3 linked regions of the Nothobranchius furzeri genome follow. The protein of the gene in region 3 purifies or fractionates together with the protein of the main gene of each other region. This does not show direct contact. Links are inferred from orthologs where the notes say so. Each region holds a gene or a part of one and is shown on either strand. Other genes may lie near its edges.

What was found. The genes of interacting proteins can lie anywhere in the genome.
Region 1: the proteins of ap2s1 (region 3) and fcho2 purify together in Homo sapiens (co-immunoprecipitation; 3 studies listed by BioGRID and IntAct, counting the BioPlex papers as one, with this or other methods). This does not show direct contact. The link is inferred for Nothobranchius furzeri from reciprocal best matches to the Homo sapiens genes AP2S1 and FCHO2.
Region 2: the proteins of ap2s1 (region 3) and necap2 purify together in Homo sapiens (affinity purification with mass spectrometry; 3 studies listed by BioGRID and IntAct, counting the BioPlex papers as one, with this or other methods). This does not show direct contact. The link is inferred for Nothobranchius furzeri from reciprocal best matches to the Homo sapiens genes AP2S1 and NECAP2.

What each region holds. Positions count from the first base shown.
Region 1 is NC_091746.1:66,697,405-66,703,986, reverse strand, and holds the start of fcho2 (F-BAR domain only protein 2), read left to right. Parts: upstream 1-2,933; 5' UTR 2,934-3,095; coding exon 3,096-3,128; intron 3,129-6,582. UniProt on the Homo sapiens protein: Functions in an early step of clathrin-mediated endocytosis. Has both a membrane binding/bending activity and the ability to recruit proteins essential to the formation of functional clathrin-coated pits.
Region 2 is NC_091743.1:46,249,749-46,256,162, reverse strand, and holds the start of necap2 (adaptin ear-binding coat-associated protein 2), read right to left. Parts: upstream 3,650-6,414; 5' UTR 3,556-3,649; coding exon 3,461-3,555; intron 2,704-3,460; coding exon 2,603-2,703; intron 1-2,602. UniProt on the Homo sapiens protein: Involved in endocytosis.
Region 3 is NC_091753.1:41,292,872-41,299,257, forward strand, and holds ap2s1 (AP-2 complex subunit sigma), read left to right. Parts: upstream 1-2,092; 5' UTR 2,093-2,242; coding exon 2,243-2,245; intron 2,246-2,660; coding exon 2,661-2,810; intron 2,811-3,240; coding exon 3,241-3,354; intron 3,355-4,553; coding exon 4,554-4,613; intron 4,614-4,801; coding exon 4,802-4,903; 3' UTR 4,904-5,374; downstream 5,375-6,386. UniProt on the Homo sapiens protein: Component of the adaptor protein complex 2 (AP-2). Adaptor protein complexes function in protein transport via transport vesicles in different membrane traffic pathways.

The DNA of each region.
Region 1 (6,582 bases), on a different chromosome or scaffold from region 3:
TTTGCAAGTTCAAAACACGTCAAAAATGCAGTGTTTGCAGATCTAAGTTTGACTTTCTACGATTCAGCTTTACTGAAAATTTGTATTTTATAAAGCACCTATAGGAATGTCTGGTCAAAGAGCTCCTTTATTCTGTAATTCAATTAGCCTTGATTAGATTATCTGCCTTCATCTTTTTTGCTAAGAAAAGCAAAATCATCATTTTGATAGACACGGTTTGATTTTTTTGATAAGCTGCTAAATTAAAAAATAATACTTTTGGGGCCACCAAATATTTTGGATCATGCAAAGACTCTATATTGTATTGTAGTAATTTTGTAATATTTGTAAGATGACATGGTGGGTGTGACTGAATACCATTGCTTGAATCTGTACATTGTTCCAATAAATTGTTTACATTATTATGAGCCTCAGGTTGTTTTATTTGAGAAACGATAGAGGCTTGTCTCAGAAATGTTTTATAGCAAAGAGATGATTTACAGAACCTAGAAAGACATTGATCTTATGAGATTTTAAAAGATTAACCAAGAGGTAGTAACCTACTGTTCCCATTCAAGGAAAGCCATTCGGTGATCCCAGCTCACCTTTGGGCAGGGCTTAATTCAGCAGACTGTCCTTCCTGCACAGTTGAGAGCACCGTTTTCAGTTCAAAAGATTGCTTCACTTGTGAGTTAAACTTAACACGGCTAAAAAAATATGAGACGTTTTAAAATTCATTCCTAGTTGCCTGGTAACTAGTTACGTGTGGTTGTGTTTCCTAAAACAAACCAGCCACAACATAAACACACATGTTGACAGTAACATGAAAGCTGTTCATAAAAAATGAACAATCTGTTTTGCCTTTAAATCTAATATTTTTCAGGAAGTTACACCTTAATTTCTAATGAAAGAGCAAGTCACCTCCAAATCAACTTTTTTTTCTGATAAACTATATAAATGCGTGTCTGATTGTGCTGCAGACATGTGTAGTCAATAGTTTTGCACTTTAGTGCATTTTAGTTAAAATTTTTATTGTCTGCCTAAAACTCAGTGTTGATCCGGTGTCGGTACAGGATCGGCTCGGGGTCCTTCGACTGCCGATGACGTCACATGACTGCAAATCTACTCGGCTTTCACACACACGTTTTGGAAAGACATCAGCAGTTTTGTTAATAAATTCTTGTTTGTTAACACCTAAATGTTTTCTTTATAATTGTAATTTGTTAATAAAACACCATATTATCTTTGTTTTGTAAAGAATGTGAAACTGCATAAAACCAACATCGGACTGACAAACAATAGAACAGTTCTTATATGTGAAGCCACATCTGTTTGTATTAACGTGGACTTCGTCTGTATATTTCCTTAGTTGTTATCTAAATACATTCTTTGACTCAAAATATTGCTTGGTGTCTTTCAATAAAGTTCTTATATTTTATTTTGCCCCATTTCATCAACATCAAGAGCTTTTGAGGGTCACCGTATATCGTTTGCTTATATTTTACATTTCCTTTAGAAATTCAAACATATTTTCTCCAAAAAGTGTTGATTTTTGGACTACAGGACTACAACCGCAAATTAGTTCTGACCACTCAAAATCATAACGTGATAACGTCACTTCTGTAAGCTTCATGTTCAGCCAATCAACTACTTTGACGTCATCGGCAGTCGAAGAACCCCGAGCCGATCCTGCACCCGAGCAGATCCTGCACCAACACCGTTGTCAGGTAAAAACTGCACTGCGTTTGAATTTAAATCTGCCATCGCTATTGGCTAAGAGGTACCCTAGAACGTTGACTGGTACCATATGATGTCACAATGTCATTGTGAGCCTGTGTGTGTATTTGTTAGTGGCTCCGCCCTCTCGGTCTACTAGGCAACAGCATTTTTTCCATTTTTGAAATATGAAGTGGGAGCAGAGTAATACTCTGGTAGGGGGTGACATTCAAAAACTGCAAAAACGTGCTTTGGTTTGTGGTTTTAAATCGAATACTAGCATTTATTTATAAAGGATTATGTGCTATAAGAATAAATACACATCTGGGCATCTTTTCTAAAAAAGTTATTTAAAAACTTTATATTGATCCTCAGTGAATTGAAAAGAGCTGCTTCTGCATTTGCTTGCGAGTCATAACATGTGTTGGACACTATGAATTCTTAAAGAATGAAGGAAATGCAACAAATGCGTAGGTCATGAGTTTTTAGTATAAAATAAGGACTTGTTCGCGTTAACAAACTTAATGGAAAATGGGTAGCAAATTATTACGCATCTCTCTAAACTCTACTCACTCTAGGGTGGAAACCAGGATAAGCAGGCACATTTTGAATGGATTAAGTCAAAACAATCAACATAAACTGTGCTTGACAAAATAACAGCAGACGAGCCCCAAACACCAATACCTAATTCAGTAGTCAGTGAGGAGGGGTGCTCAGCCTGTGGGTAAAAGACTACGTTTTAAACTAAAGAGAACACTTGATTTGGAGGAGAAACAAATGAGCTGATACTTTGTTAAACTGGAGAAATAAGAAAGTAAGAACATATACAACCCGATTGGTCAAAAAAAAAAAACATTGCAATTAGAAAAAAATCCAATATCAAGGAGTCACAAAGGGTTTTCTGCAGAGGTGAAAAAACAGTTGGAATATGCCCACCCAAGATAGGAATCAGAATATTTTTAAAACTGTTTCATCCATTTTCCCCAACATTATACATTGCTCATTTATCTTTACTCTGGTTTAGATTTATTTAACTTCCTTTATGCAAATGTGATTAGCTTTTCCTCATTGTCGTGTTTAGGATGGAGGAATTTCCAGGGAGCACTTGAAGGCGGCATATCGACCGGGCGGCTAGCAGCTAGCCCGGTGCTCGCCTCGCCCTCGGCCGTTAGCAGCGCTGTTTCCTCCCTACGTCTCGGGAAGAAACCGCGGGGGGAAAGGCGCAGTGCAGCCTAGTGGAGGTGGAGTCTGTCGGTGGGGAGGGAGAAGAAAGGGGAGAGGAGGAAAACGGCAAGAAGGCAGATATATAACAGAAAAGGGGGGAGGACGGTGGATGATTTACGCTTTAAGAATAGCATCACAGCCAATTAAAAAGTTGCTCAGAAGAGGATTTGAACAAGATGATAGCGCCTTACTTCCTAGAAAATTTCTGGGTAGGTGGTGTCTTTTCAATACTGTTTACGCCGGTGCTGCTCCCTTTCTAACATGGTCATGTCAGCAAGGAACCGAGTGCTATTCACGTCGCAGGGCCAGTCCAATTGTTTCCTGGCTTGCTCCGGCAGAGCTGACACTGCCCGGTACAGTCAGACCAACCGACGGGCTACCTCCGGGACCGTCGTTAATTTATCTTCGGACGATAATTTCGCTACCCCGGGGTTTGGGGCCTCTGAACCTATCTAACTTGAGAGCTAAAACAGTCCAGCCGTTTGCTCGGTAATTTGCTGCGCTTGGATTACTTGGAATGTTTACGGTCAATTCCACGAATACTATTGGACGTTTCGACTGTCAATCATGTGTTTTCCTGTTACACGTCATTTTCTTCCGTAAATACATTTGCGCGAGAGACCAGATGTTGTAAGAAGTTCTTAAAAAAGGGGAGACAGATCCCAGCTACTGATTCATGTAATACACATCTGGTGCTAGTGCGCATGCGTTAACCTTACAGCGTCCATAAGCAGATAAGGTCAAGTTTTTGGCGATGAAATCAAACGCTGCTATGGTTGAAAAATAAACTAGGTAAACGAATGCTTTCATGGTTTTTCCACCTTTGTTTAGCTTTATGTTTAATAAAGTGACTTATGACAACATTTTATATTCTCTGACATATTGATCCTTATAAACTGTCTTAGAATCTCATAAATTCGTAGTGTATCCTGTTATGAACAATAGCGAACAGGCTGGCTTCAGGATTTCATTATATATAACTGTGTTATTAGAAGATTTTGTTGCATTTCAAGCTGAACACATTTAGTTCTTCGATATTAAAACTGAATCCTAGCACCGGTGGTATTTATTGCTGCAGGTTTGTCAATCATCAACTTAGCAGGAAATAACCTTTTTTATTTTGACTCATTTCTATAGTGGTTTAATACAGCTATAATATTTCTGAAGCTTTTTCCTCTCAGCTTCAGTTACTTGATGAGAATGAAGTCTGAAGCCAGTCTACTGGTCTCATATAAAGAACATACATTTCAATGAATACTTAGCCGTGCATTTTAAATAATTACATAGCATTTTGTTCCTGAAGGAAGCTTTAAAAGGACCATAAATGAAAATAAGTCCTTGTGATCCTTCAATCTGCTCTTTGTGCCTTGCATTGAGCCACAAGAGAATCCAGTGATGGCTGTGATCAGCTGTGTTTAACATGCAAAGCACACACATACTTGGCATTAGGGGATGCATCCATTTCCCTTTTGACTTGACTACAAATCTTCACCTCAGGCAGGCATATAGCTCTGTTACACACTGAACATGTCAAATTTCTGCAGACTTTTATTTATTTATTTATTTTTACCTGTTTTCATTTGCAAAGCAGACAGGAACACATAACTTTTCTCCATCGTGTGAGAGTTTTGTTGGGGAGCCAAATGATTTTCTTAGCTTTTATTTTTCCTCATTTGCAGTCTTAGCTCAGCTCTTTGTAGAAAATGTCTTCCCTCAGCTGAAAAAATAAGATATTTTAGGAATCAGGAACCAGAAGGCAACATTGTCTTTTTGACAGAGCTGCAGCTCTTGACTGGTGCCAGATTCTCTTGTAGTCTCATTTCCCCCTTTTTTCAGTTTGCAGTCAGTAGCATAACCTCAGTATGTGTGGTGTGTGCTGAAAGAGCTCAGTGTGTGGTTTTTTCATGAAACTGTGGAGTTATGATTCATGTACAGTCTGGTGGTCTTTAACATGCCTTGGGAAAGTAAGATGGAAGTGTGATAACCAGTGTTGACACAAGCAACAGGAATGGCTGTTTTCTTCTCTCCCGTGTGTGTGTGTGTGTGTGTGTGTGTGTGTGTGTGTGTGTGTGTGTGTGTGTGTGTGTGTGTGTGTGTGTGTTGTCGTCCAATGGTTTTACATAAAAGTCACTGTAAGTCAGACTGGAAGCTATGATCAGCCATGAGGAGAGTCAGAAAATACTCTGGTTGTGCGGTTGTGCTTGAAGCAGAAACTTTTCTTGTGCTTGTCAATATTTGAAATTACGACTGACCTTTGACCTTCACAAACACATTGAAAAACCTGATTTAAATCAAATGAATTCAAAAGTGTGATGAGCCATGCTTCTCTTGGGCTTTGCTTTCTTAATAACCTACTGAGCAGCAGGAAATTTGGACAGTCTAGCGTTTATGTTGACTCCTGCTCAAACGTATGCCCTGTCGCCTAGCGACCATGATGGTGCTAAACAGGTTAAAACTAAACCTAACAGCGATACATGAAGATATTCGACATTCGCTATACAAGCTCATTTATGAGTTTTTCTCTTAAAAATATATTTAAAGACCAGCTATGCAAATGGAAAAATCCCAATGACACAACTCTCTCCCCCCCCCCCCCCCCACCAGCAGATATTAACTAGCCTATATTTAAACTATAAAATTCTCCAGGTTTGTCAACTGTTATTGTAAGGAACAATATCTGCTGTTCAGCCCACAGTGAAGCCTGGCTGGGATAGGGTGGGCCAGTAACAATACATCCTACCCAACTTGAAATTCAGTGAAAATAAGGGTTGTATTTTGAGTATCCTTTGAATTTGGACAGCCGTGTCGCTTCGTTGTGACATAATCAGCTTTAAAATGCAGCCTTTGAAGGACCCAGCCCCTGATTTTAGATCATATTACCTATGTCTGTTTTAGACGCATCCATGGTATTTAGAGGAAACATTCCCGTTTACTTCAGTCGCACAAAAGTGAAGCCAAAATGTCTCCTTTGTTTAGTATTTGTATCCAGTTGCTGAAACACCCACACCATTTCCTTTAATCATGGTGTTATTTGTTTTTCTTTCCAGTATCAAATGACTTATTATAATTAAAAATATTAGAAACATGAATATTTTAGCATGCAGCATCAATGTGAATCAACAGGAGTTGAGCTCAAAACTTGTTCTGCAGCCAGCCACTAGGGGGGCTCTAAGTTTGTTCTGGCTTCAGCTGGTTTGATCTGGATGTCTACTTTCTATCTATGCTAATGCTTTTGATAGCTTGAAATGTCTCTGAGACCTTTAATACCACATAACTTAGAGCCTAAACCTGTTCCTGGTAACCATATTCATGTTAATTCACTTTCTACAAGTGGAGAATTTTAATATGTTAGGGTCTTGTTCACGAGTGAGGGAAAGATGGAGGACGAAATCGATAGATGGACTGGTGCTGCGTCTGCAGTGATGCAGGCGTCGTACCGGTCTCTAGTGATGAAGAGAGAGCTGAGCCAGAAGGTGAATTTACTGGTCGATCTACATTCCTACCCTCACCTATGGTCACGAGCTTTGGGTAGTGACCGAAAGAACGAGATTACGGATACAAGCGGCTGAAATGGGTTTTCTCCGCTGGGTGTCTGGGCTCTCCCTTTGAGATAAGGTGAGAAGCTCGGTCATCCAGGAGGGGCTTGGAGTAGATCTGCTGTTC
Region 2 (6,414 bases), on a different chromosome or scaffold from region 3:
TACAGTCCGAGCAATAAACGCGGAAGTTAGATCCAAACACCCGTTGTGTGGGAGAAACATCGGCATGAGCTGTTTAATCTGCCCATCATTTGTGTTGAGAGATGAGCAGTGTTTGGATCAACAAAGTGTGACTACTTTGATCGTAGAAACTGTATTTATGGCTTACTTTTGTGCATTTAAACTTCAGCCGCCATTGATAGTTGTTAAAAGTTGTTAAACCTGTGCATATGAAACAAAAAACGCCTTTTGTTTATCGATTTATTGTGAAAAACGGAAATTGTGCTCGCTCCTTTTCCTGTTGGGCCGTTGTGATTTCTGTCCATTTACTGCGGAGGTGCTCCGGCGTCCGGCGAAAATAGGATCGATTCTATTTTTGCCGGACGCCGGAACAGAGGGCGGCGCATGGCGCCGCACTGCCGGAGCACGGCCGCAGTAGTGGAATTGCTCTGATTGACTACAACGGGACCGATTTTGCTCCGGCGTTCGTGTCGGAGCGGAGCGGAGCGGAGGTAGTGGAATTTGGGGGTTAGGGTTGTCACGGTGTGAAAATTTAACCTCGCGGTTATTGTGACCAAAATGACCACGGTTTTCGGTATTATCGCGGTATTTTTTTTAAACATGCTACATTTTCACACAATTAAATAAACCCTGTATGTCAGGAAAATATTGTCCTCAGTTTGTGTGTAAATTTTGCCTAAAATGTGTTATTTTGTAATTAAGTTGTTTATTTGTTTACATTTTCCCCCTTTAGTCTTTAAAATAGCAATATTTGCCCATAACTTCTTATTTTATGTCTGTTTGATGTCATCATTTTAAAAATATTAGATCAGATGATACTCAGTACTCAAGTAGCCTTCTAATCAGATACTTTTTTACCCTTACTTGAGTAATCCGTATATCAGGAAAATATTGTCCTCGGTTTGTGTCCTTCCAGTCAGCTTTGCAGATGTGGGAAAATGTCATCAGGCAGTAATCATTGTTAAATTCATAATTATTCTCGGAGAGAGACCAACTCTTATCTGCCCCTGGGAGCCCCGTAATGCATAGAGTCATTTCAACATGGGGGTGTCCGCAACACGGTTTATATGCAGGTGGCGGCGCTGCGGCTGCTTTATATAGCGACTCGTTGCCTTCTCCCTCAACCCAATTCCTCGGATCACGCATTTTAGCTAAAACGCTAACGTTAACTTGCCTTGCGTTGACTGTAGAGTTGTGGGTGATGGTCACGCAGATGTGTCATGAGATTTGAAGCGTTGCTGCCTTTCACAGACACTTTTTCTGCTCGTGCTGCAAACAGGATAGCCGTCCGTCTTCCATAAACTCCCTCGGCATTCTTCAAATATCTAAAAGATGCCTGTACTTCCGACTTTGTCTTCTTTGAGGGATAATAAATGTCCTCCTGAGCGCTGCCGTCTCCTCCTTTGACCATTATTTCAGCTTTAGCTTCAAGAAAGTTTTGTTGTAAACAAAGCGTGCATGTGCCGCCGGCAACTTCAGCCGATGATACGGTGGCTGGTAAGGGTCACCGCGCCTACACCGCAGCCACGGTAAACCCACCAAGATAATATATTTTTTTAAAAACAAGACGGTTATTATTGTCAACTTTTTTTCTTTTTTTCTTTTACCGGGGTTTAGCGCTACACTGGTTACCGTGACAACCCTACCTGATCGGTTTGCTCTGATCTATTTTAAAAATTCCGATCAAAACCGATAGGGGCGCTATCGGCCGATTACGATCAAATGCCGATCCATCGGTGCATCCCTACCCCCATGTTGAAATGACGCTATGCATTATGGGGCTCCCAGGGGCAGATAAGAGTTGGTCTCTCTCCGAGAATAATTATGAATTTAACAATGATTACTGCCTGCAAAGCTCACAGGAAGGACACAAACCGAGGACGATATTTTCCTGATATAGGCTTTATTACTCAATTAAGGGTAAAAAAAAGTATCTGATTAGAAGGCTACTTGAGTACTGAGTATCATCTGATCTAATATTTTTAAAATGATGACATCAAACAGACATAAAATAAGAAGTTATGGGCAAATATTGGTATTTTAAAGACTAAAGGGAAAAATGTAAACAAATAAACAACATAATTAGAAAATAACACATTTTAGGCAAATTTAGACACAAACTGATGACAATATTTCCTGACATACAGGGTTTATTTAATTGTGTGAAAATGTAGCACGGTTAAAAAAAATACCGCGATAATACCGAAAACCGTGGTAATTTTGGTCACAATGACCGTGAGGTTAAATTTTCACACCGTGACAACTTTAATACAGACCATTTTAGATTAGGTTACATTTCTTTTATTCCCAGATTATGTAGTTTGTAGCACTCATTATAATGTTGTAGAAAATTTCTGGCCAATCCACGTGATCGGTATCGGTGATCAGCATTCTTTGATATCGGTATCGGCAGCAAAAAACCTGATCGGTGCATCCCTAAACAAAGAATGATCATAACTGCTGTCCTTTGACCCATGATCACTGAGAAGAGTTTCAGGCTGTGTTGAAACCAGTTCATACAAAAAAGGACTTGTTTCACAGCACAACTAAGGTATTTGGCTGTGAGGCTCATGATAAGGTTTACCTGTGTTTTTGTCCTCCAGCTTGATGAAAGCCATCTTTCCTTTGGCTGTGATTTTCATCCTACCGCTCCACGCAGGTTCATCCAGTTTCCAGTCAGCAGCTCTAGATGAAAGAAGCAGGAAAAACCCACCGGATTAGAGAACCATTCATGTAAATCCTCATTTAAAGGAGCTCCTGTCTCTGCGTTTGTTTTAGCAGCTTTACTTGTCCAACATAATGAGGAAGTGAAATTAAAATCTGCCTAAAAGATCGAAAAAAGACAAACAGGGAAACTCCCAGTTGCTTGTTTTTAAAGATAATAAAAGTTGTATAAGTACCATCTGACCAATATAGATTATTGGGGTTAGTTTAGAATGTGAATACAAAACAAAACCTGAAATCACACACACACACACACACACACACACACACACACACACACACACACACACACTTTTGTGTTTTAAAATGTAAACAATGATCAAAATCAATCCACCGAAGTTTACCATTTTACACACAGAGTGAAAACTGAAAGGGAATTTGATTTATTTGGATTTTCTCATAACCAGTTTCAGAGTGAATGATGTAAAACAATCCGTTAAAACAAGAACATGTTTCTTCTTAACTCAAATAAAACATTTGTAAACAAAAAACACTGATGGTGGTGTTTCTAGCTATTAGCTCGCTGCTGCCAGTTGATATTGTTAAACTTTCCCAATATACGAACCTTTAGTGAGAACTAAGAAAAAGAGTCCGTAGCTGTCGAGTGTCTTCAGACCAGTTTGGTTGACAGCTTGTTAGTCCGATAATGGAAACATGACAGTTAAACTAGCCTGCTGACAAACACTTTTTCCGACTCGCCAGAAAGAAGCTTTCTTACCGATATCCGCGGTTGGAGGCCCGCGGCGGGATCCGGTAAACATGAACCTCTGGCTTCACACACAGCATCGACTCATAACTGTTGTCCTCTGCCATTTTGTCAAGTTTCACAAACCAAAAAACAACTTCCGACTTTCAATGGACGCCCGTGCTGAAGCTGCTTGGTGGTTGACGCCGCGCCGCCAGCTTCAAACAGCGCCACCCGGTGTCCGGAGGTTGTAGACGTAACTGTCAATCTGCTGTAAACACGAGTTTGTCCTGGGATTAATATTCAAATTATAGACGAAATAACAACTAAACAGTATTAATATGATTCATGTTCGATATTACTTTATACGTGAAACTAACATGAAGTCCAGATGACATTTTATTTTAAAACTGGCTTAATGTTGGTTCAGCTTAAATAATAATTGCCAGATCTTTTATAAAAAACAAACAAACAAACAAAAAACTACAAGTATCATGTTTAAATGAGTTTATTAAAGGGTATTCAGTTTTCTGTAGGGTTTTTCAAGTTTCAAAACAATTGCATCACATGAGCATCAAACAGGACACCTGGCTGTGAAAGAAAAGCATTGTGATCTGATCACACCGATAGCATGTTGGGTATCTGCTTATTGATACAAGGTCATAACGTATCCCTTAAGTTTCAACACCTGAAAGAGACTGTGTATATTAATAAAAAACTTCTCTAAAGTCAATTATCCAAACCAGATGCTCCCAAATCAGTTTGTTCCAAGATTCCTCCTACAGTAGATCCCAACACATGCCATTAATAAAAGTTTAGCTTTCAAAACATCAAAGGAATTTTACTTCCCTTCAGTCTGCAACTGGTTTTAAAGAAACATAGAAGGAATTGAATTGAGTAAAAACTCTGCTCTTTGTAAGCATTAAGTACCGTATTTTCCAGACTATAAGCCGCTACCTTTTTTCCCACGCTTTGAACCATGCGGTTTATAATGAGGTGCGGCTTTACTGAAGATTTTCCTTCACCTGCCAGGGGGCGCTTTCGCAGAAAGTGAAACAGGTGGAAGTCAAAAGTGGAAATCGAAGAAAGTGCTCATTTTAAATTAGCACATGCAAGCAGCCGGCACGACGAAGAATCTTTTTCAAATCCATACCCCCTCATCATGGTAACTACACGTATGAGTTCATATGATGCCGCATTTAAGTTGAAGGCCATCGATCTGGCAGTAAAGGAGGGAAACAGCGCTGCCGCACGTAAGCTTGGCATGAATGAATCCATGGCTCGGCGCTGGAGACGGCAGCGGGAAGAACTCATTCAAGCCGGCTTCACCCGGGGATGATGACAGCAACACGGACAGAGACACTGACATCGCCACAGAAAAGGTCTGTGACGAAGCTCTTCTGAGGCTGTTCATCTCCGACACTGAAGAAGAGGACTTTAATGGCTTTAGTGCGCAAGAGGAAGATGAGAGCTAATGACTTTTTCTGGTAGGCAAGTGTGTTTTATTTACTAACAGGCATGTTTTGTGTGCAGTTTTTATTTTCTAATCATCCAGGGCTTATTAATGCTGTGTCAGCGCTGTTCTTTCCTTCTGAACATGCAAATTACCGGTAATAACGTGTCAGTGCTGTTTTTATCTTATAACCATCCAGAAATATGAATGCTATCAGTGCTGTTTTCATTTCTAAACTTGCAGGCACATTCACCCGTGTTTAAAATGTGTTTTGTTGAATTAAAACAACAACGAAAAAACTCCGTGTGGCGTCTTTCTGTCTAATTATCTTATGTAATGGCCGTACATGCGCTATGCGCCGGAGACCTGCATGTGGCTGCTGCGCCGCGGCTTGTATTTGAGTGCGGCGTGTGTGTGTGTAGAAAAGCTTTTTTTTTTTTTTTTTTTGTTGGTGCGGCTTATATTGAAGTGCACTCTATAGTCCGGAAATTACGGTAGTTCCTCCAGAAGCCCATCAGAAGCTTCACAGATCAACCATAGAAACAAGGTTTTTGTTTGTTAGCAAGCAGGGTTCATTTATCATTTAAGGCATAAATGTCTAAGAATTCAAAAAGACTTGACTTATTTTTACACTTTATAAGCTCTTCTTCTGATTCTGTGGAAAACGAGCAAACATTTAGTAAAATTCTGCCGTGGGTAAAACACCACAGGAAGACATTCAGACCCAGGAAGAGAGGTTCAGGCTGTATTTCAAAGGTCACTGTTTAAAAAGCAGGTTTTGACCAGTTTTTGCCATTTCTTCCTCAACACTGGCAAAATATTTGCTAAAACGTAGCATCAGATGCGTTTTCCCCACAGCGGGCTTGACGTAACCCTGTCTGTGTGAGTTATAAGCATGATATAAGACTATTATTAATGTGCTGCTGCGTAAACACGAATCTGACTCGAGACGAGATCAAACTCTGATTTTAAACCGATATGAAAACCACAAGTTTTGATTCTTAGTTACCGACTTTCGTCAAGTGTATGAAAATAAATTAAGCACTACAAACAAAGTCTCCCTACTTTTCTGAACTTTACTATCCTCCTGATTTACATCAACGGTCACCAGGCAAAAAGAAAAACACACAAATGGACAACGTTAACAGCTTAAAACAAGACAAAGAAAAAAGAAATCCAGGAAGTCATTTCATTGTTATTGCTTGTAAAAACTTTTAGTGATCCTGCCACTGGGATCAAAGCTTTGGGCCAGAGGCTGCGTACCAGCCGGGCTACCGGTGCTGAGTGTGGGCCTGAGGGCCGAGCAGCGTTCTGCTGAGACACAGCCTTCATTTGCACATTGATTCAGCGCTGTGCACGTTTGCAGAAAAGGTCCGATCGACATGACTTGCCATCACTTCACACTCAGTCTGCTAAACATGAAGTCAGTTCTTGGCACTGTAATAACTTTTTCTGAGCACAAACTATGGCCACCTTCCTCTTGGACACCGAGCTGTGACCTTTGCTCCTTTAGTGGGATGAAAGGCTCTTCTTC
Region 3 (6,386 bases):
CCCACTATAACAGTATTTTAAACCTTTAAAAAGGGATAACCTGACACTCTTATTTCCATTCCTTCACAGCGGATCTCTGTTTCATGCACAGATTCAAATATTAGTCATCATCTAACATATTTGAATGTCCCATGGCTGCATCGCATAGAAAAATTTTGCTTTAAGAACCAAGAACTGTGACCTAAAAGTCTCATCCAGCAGCAGAAAGGGGGAATTTTTCCTTCCCGAGAAAATCAATCATCTCAAAGGTATTCCTAATTACTTGAGTCGTTCTCGGAGTCGTCCACTTGATAAAAGAATTACTATGAAGAGGTTTGCACTCTGATTAGTTCAGCCACTGAATGAATAATTGAATCTTCCGAGGAGGACGGTGGAGCTCTGTTTTCATATTTGAAAAATGTCTGCTGAGTAAAAGAAGACAATGGGCTTCGAGAGCTCAAACGCCAGCTTAATGTCTCTATTCTTGAAAGTCGTCACCTTTTCCACTTGTTGGTGTTTTCAGGGTCCTAGAAAATGGGCCAGTCATAGGGGTCCTCACAATCTGAGATAAAATGACCAATAATGGAGACATCATCACATTAAAATATTTCCTTATTTACGTATGAGACGCATAAAGTGTCCCACGTCTTACCTGACAGAATGAATGATTCATCCTAAATATGAGTCAGGGTTCAAGGTGTGTTGTTTGAGTGAATCCATTTGCTTCTGTCCACTGTGCTTTCATAATATTTGCATGACCTCAATCACACAAAGCAAGATTAGCCTGCAGGGTCAAAGTTCTTATTGAATAATCTGCTTCTGTTTTACGTCCCTTTATCCCAGCTTTGATCTTTTTTCATTATTATTATTATTTATTTTTCCGGGCCTTTTTTACTACCTCGTCCCTCTCCTTGAGTAATGAAATGCATCGCTGTTGAAATTATTTTCTTGCGAAACATTACCGCAGTGTTATAAATCTAAGCACGACTAAAGTCAGTCAAAGCTCACAAGCATTACAGAGGGGATAAAAACAATTTCCCTTTGTTTACACGCTTTCCCTTTTTCTTCTATTCTTTTACGTTTGCACCATTTGCAGCTGAGATATCTCTGGGTCCCAAGGGCAGGCGCATTCCTTTACACAAGAGTTGTGCAATCCCCCCCCCCCCCCCACCCCCACCCCCCCAACCTACACCTCCTCCCATCAGACTCCCTAAATGCCCAGAGCGCTCAGATCCAAGCTGTCTAAACTGTCTGTGCAGTGGCCTGTGGTGGACTGCCCAGCCAGACCCGTAAACAAATGCTAAGCCTTGATAATGCAGGAATAAAACACAAACAACTTCACAATTGTGCAGAAATGTGTGACTATATATAGATTTTTTCAGTAACCTGTAACACCTGAGACAAATTATGTATGACAAACTAATTTACAAAGGGAACATAGCCGTAGTTTTATATGATCTGTCCTTCATGTTTGTGCACTAAATCTTTCCATATAGTGCAGCATAATAGTAAAACTACAATAGCTAAGTAATTTTTCATTACCAAAATTCATATGAAATATAAAACTTTTTCAGGAATTTTTTGGCTTTTTTTTTGCCTTTTTTGACAAAAGTTTTGACTATTTATGACATTTAATCAGCTGCAATCTGTTCTTGCAATTCTTTCCATGGAAATTGCATTTCTTGCTGAAAAATATTATCATAAAAATAATGCATACATCTTAGGTTTCACAACTGAGATTGTTTTATAAAACACTTATGTTTAAATTAACTAAACGCTAACTAGTATGCTTGAATAGAATTGTGGTGGGTTGCATGAAAGCCTCTGAAATAGTTGAAATTTATTTTATTTTATTTTATTTTTTTACTAGGAACTAAATGATTGAATATCACGAACCTGTAACGCTCAAAAAATTATGTGTTAAACTGGCTTGACATATATGTTAAACTGGCTTGACATACATTAATTTGTGAAGGTTTTTCTCATGTGATCCAAAAACGCAACGAAACTCGATACGTCAATCGGGACCGCTGGTTGTTGTAGTTTCTCGTGGATTACATTGACTTGGCAGAAAAGCAGCGATGACTACGTTTCCCAGAATGCAACATAACTCGGCGTAGTTTTGCACATCCTGTTAGCTTGAGAGGATAGCGGACGAACGGGCGGAAAAAAGAGATACCGATGTTTTAATATAAAAGTGGTGCATTATTGCTCATGAACGTAATATTCTGGAGTGCCCAAGAAGCATATTAGGAAGACGAAAATGGTAAAGTTATTCAATTATTCAAGTTAATCTTTTTTTTTATTAGCCGTCAGGTTATGTTAGCGTTTAGAACTCGACAGATAAGCACTCCATTCAGTCTAGAAAACTATACTGGTGGTTAAATTGAGGGTTTAACCACAGAAAACCTCCACTTTAGCCTATGTAGATAGCATGGTGAAATTCAAGAATGTCGAAGTGTACGCATTATGTTAAAAGCTAGGTGTGGTTTAATAGTGCTACCTTTTACACCAGCCAAGCTAACGGTCAGTAATAGCTTCAGTTACTTTCACATCTCAGTAAGCTGGAGTTCCATAGCTGCCAATCTATGGTACATATTATTCCAGTGTGTTAATCATTTGTGTGGGTGGGTTTTGTTGCAGATTATTTTGTTTGATCTAATCCGTTTTCTATCCCAAAGATCCGCTTTATCCTCATCCAGAACCGAGCAGGGAAGACACGATTGGCTAAATGGTACATGCAGTTCGATGATGACGAAAAGCAGAAACTGATCGAAGAAGTGCATGCTGTGGTTACAGTCAGGGATGCCAAGCACACCAACTTTGTGGAGGTATGGGATTGTATAAATGCTTTAATGTGTGGCTGTTTTTGCAGACTGCATAGACATTAAAAAGTTAAGATTTCTAATTTTAAGTATAGCTCAATACTCTTGAAAGAGAGGCTGAAATGCAATTGGATTGTAATGTTTCATATATGGATGTTGATCAATATCTGCAGGAAAATAACATTCAAAAGAACATATTTTCTATTTATTGAACTTGGTCTGTATGTGAAGATAACGCCTTAAATACACCCTTGGGTGACTTATCATTTTTAACAAATACAGTATAATAGAAGAGGTTCCCACCTGTTTATTTTTTGCTTGTAGTAGACTTAAATATAATTATTGGTATACAAAGCCTTGAGTCTCTCAGCTCTGCTGAAACTTCTGTTACACAAATCTAAATTTCTAATTGGATTTCACCATTTTGTCCTCACAGTTCAGGAACTTCAAGATCATTTACCGACGTTATGCAGGCCTGTACTTCTGTATTTGTGTGGATGTGACTGATAACAACCTGGCATACCTCGAGGCGATCCACAACTTTGTTGAGGTAAACAATGAACACACACAAACATCCATCCATCATTTATTTATGAAGCACATTTAAAAACACAGCATTTCAGCTGTCCAGAGTGCTGTACAGGAGGTCCAAAGGCCAAAAAACAGTGGTGGGCTACTCTACAAAATAGATGAGAGAGGAGGGAAAGTATAACAAGTTGGAAGTAAAAAGAGCCCAAACTGTACAAATTGTAGAAAAAGAAAACAAGAACCTAGCAGTAGCTAATACACTTAAAATGAAATCAGTGGACATATGAACAAAACAATAACCTTATTTCGAGATAAAACACACACATGACCTGTGCTTGTCATGGTCTGGTGGGGTTTAGGAGTGTTTCTTTGTGGCTGTGATTTGTTACCTTGCAGTTCTTGAATGCCAAACTGGCTGCATTTTTGTGTGGATTAAAAACTAACATATAGTGGTTAAAAATGATCGTCATTCAGTTATGAAGGCATGGAAAGCATTCATAATAAATGTGTGATTTGGCAATTAAATGTTCACCTTATATAACATCTGTCTGGTGCAGAATGTGTCAGGAGAAAATAATTGAATTTATTTAAAATTATTTAACCTCTATTTCAGCACCGGTTTGAAACACTTAAGCATCAAATACAATTAAAGTTTTTATTTTTATATTTTGATGATTGAATGTTTTGGCTTCGAGTCTGAAACAGAAATGAGGTAAAATTTCACTATTCTGTTTTAGCAGCAGTGTTTTCAGTCTGATCTTTGTGCTTTTACAATAATAATTTTGCACAAGTGAAGCTGACGGTATCCACCTAAACTACTTTTGAAGCCTTTCTCTGAAATGGACCACCTCAGGGATTATTGAGCGGTTTATTTTTTGTTTTTGCATAGAACTGTTAAAAAACTAGGACAAAATGGTTAAATTTGTTGTTATGCTGCAGCCTTTCTGCCATTTCTCACACAATGGAAAGCAAATGGGCAGCTGTGGAAGCCAGAATAAAGTAGAAGAAAATCAATAGTAGACAATAGCTGTCCTTGTTACCGTTAGCCAACAGCTAAACCAAATCCTGAACAACAGGTTTAAAATGTTGTTTTATTTAAAGTGAATTTGGTATTTTCTGTTCTGCAGTCGCATTTCACTCGTAGGAATTGTCGGTAATTGTCGTACACACTTTGGTTGTGTAGCTTAAAATGTACATTTTTCTGTTTCTCTTTGCTGGAAGGTGCTGAATGAATATTTTCACAATGTGTGCGAACTGGATCTTGTGTTCAACTTCTACAAGGTGAGAACACACAGAGGGATTATTTTTCAGATTTGACACAATCTCTGATAGAAAGACATTACATGTATTTTTAATTGTATTATTTTGATGACAAAGAGGGGGAGTTGGGTCATGTTCGCATGCAGTTGATGGTATTTGTGCTCAGATCAGTATTTGTCCTCTCATCTGTTTTGTGCGTCTGTCTCAAGGTGTACACGGTGGTGGACGAGATGTTCCTGGCAGGAGAGATCAGGGAGACCAGTCAGACCAAGGTTCTCAAGCAGCTCCTCATGCTCCAGTCTCTTGAGTGAAAATGTGTCCTTCCTGTGCTTTTTATCTTCTGCCCAACCCGACCTTCACCATGTCCCTATCACTCTGGAAGAACCACACCATTCTCCATGCCCCTGCAGAGCCAGCTCTCATCTTCAAGACAAGGAGGGAGGGGGTTGTTTTGAATAAAAATACACAATATTGTTTACGTATGGATATGAGTTCAGCTGTTTGCCATAGCAGCCCATATGTTGCATTATTCTGATAAACTGCTATAGATGTCATCAACAAGCCTACAGTCTCAGTAGATTTTAACATTTCAAATAGTCCTGCCAATGTTATGAGCTTTGTAACTAACTGCAGAAAAGAGTTGTTTCATGTTTGCATTTATCCATGTTCACTGTGGAAATCAGTGTGAGACTGCTCTCTGTCCCAGTAACCTAAACATTTACTCAATGGCACTACTGTAACTAACAAGCACCATAAAAATAAACTGCAGATAGACCCGAGAACCCCCAACAGCTCCGTAGTTGTTTCTAGACGTCCAGTGTTGTGGGTTATCTCTGCTGAGTCCCAGCCCACCAGCGGACTACAAGTAGGAAGCTCTTCAGAGCCGTTGACCCAGCAGAGAAAGTTCATCCCAGAATGGAGCGTACTCGGGATGAGGAGCGTTTCAGTGGGGTGTTATGGTGACCGGTGACGAGAGAGAAAGTTATGTTGGATTTGTTCAGCTTTGCTTCCAATTACATCAAATGGTGCTTGTTCCCTCTTAAAACACTTAAATACAAAGAAAACCTGGACAGAGTCAGTTTTACATGAAGTGGAACTTTTGCTTTGCGTTGTGTTTGTATACACACACACACACACACACAAATATTTAGCATCTTATGTCCAGTACTGTGTAAAAAAAAAAAAAACAGCTCCTAATCATCTTGAGATTCATACATTCCTTTGATGTTTATTTGCCTAAAACCATAACATGGATGTATGGTGGATGGAAATCTGCTTTATTCATACAGGGGTTAAATGTTTTATCAACATCCCATGATCTAATTTTAACCATATCCAGTCAGATAATCTGAAACTACTTATTTCTTATGAAATAGTAATGACCTATATCCTGTTTCCCTTGTGAGTTAGCTGGTGGAACATGTGTTACAGTCTATTCAACACCTATTTGTCCAGTTTTGTGTAAATAAACAGATTAAGTGATTCTGCTGTCTGTTACTCCTTTTTTCTCTCCAGGATCTTAACGCCATCTAGTGGTGAAAACAATTTAGTCCTAAATCAAGTGAAATGGTTATGAGGTCATTGTGCCAGCCTGCTGGAATCAGTGGATCCATCAACACATCCACTCCAGCCACGCTAGTCGTTACTCCATCGACCCAGGAGGGTAAATCCTGACGATTTGACACGGAGGACATTAACTCGGCTCCGAGTCCTCCGATATCCTCACCTCAACTCCTCTGAATGAAATGACTGGAGAGAGACAGAGGAGGAGGAACATCAATCATTTAACTTTCC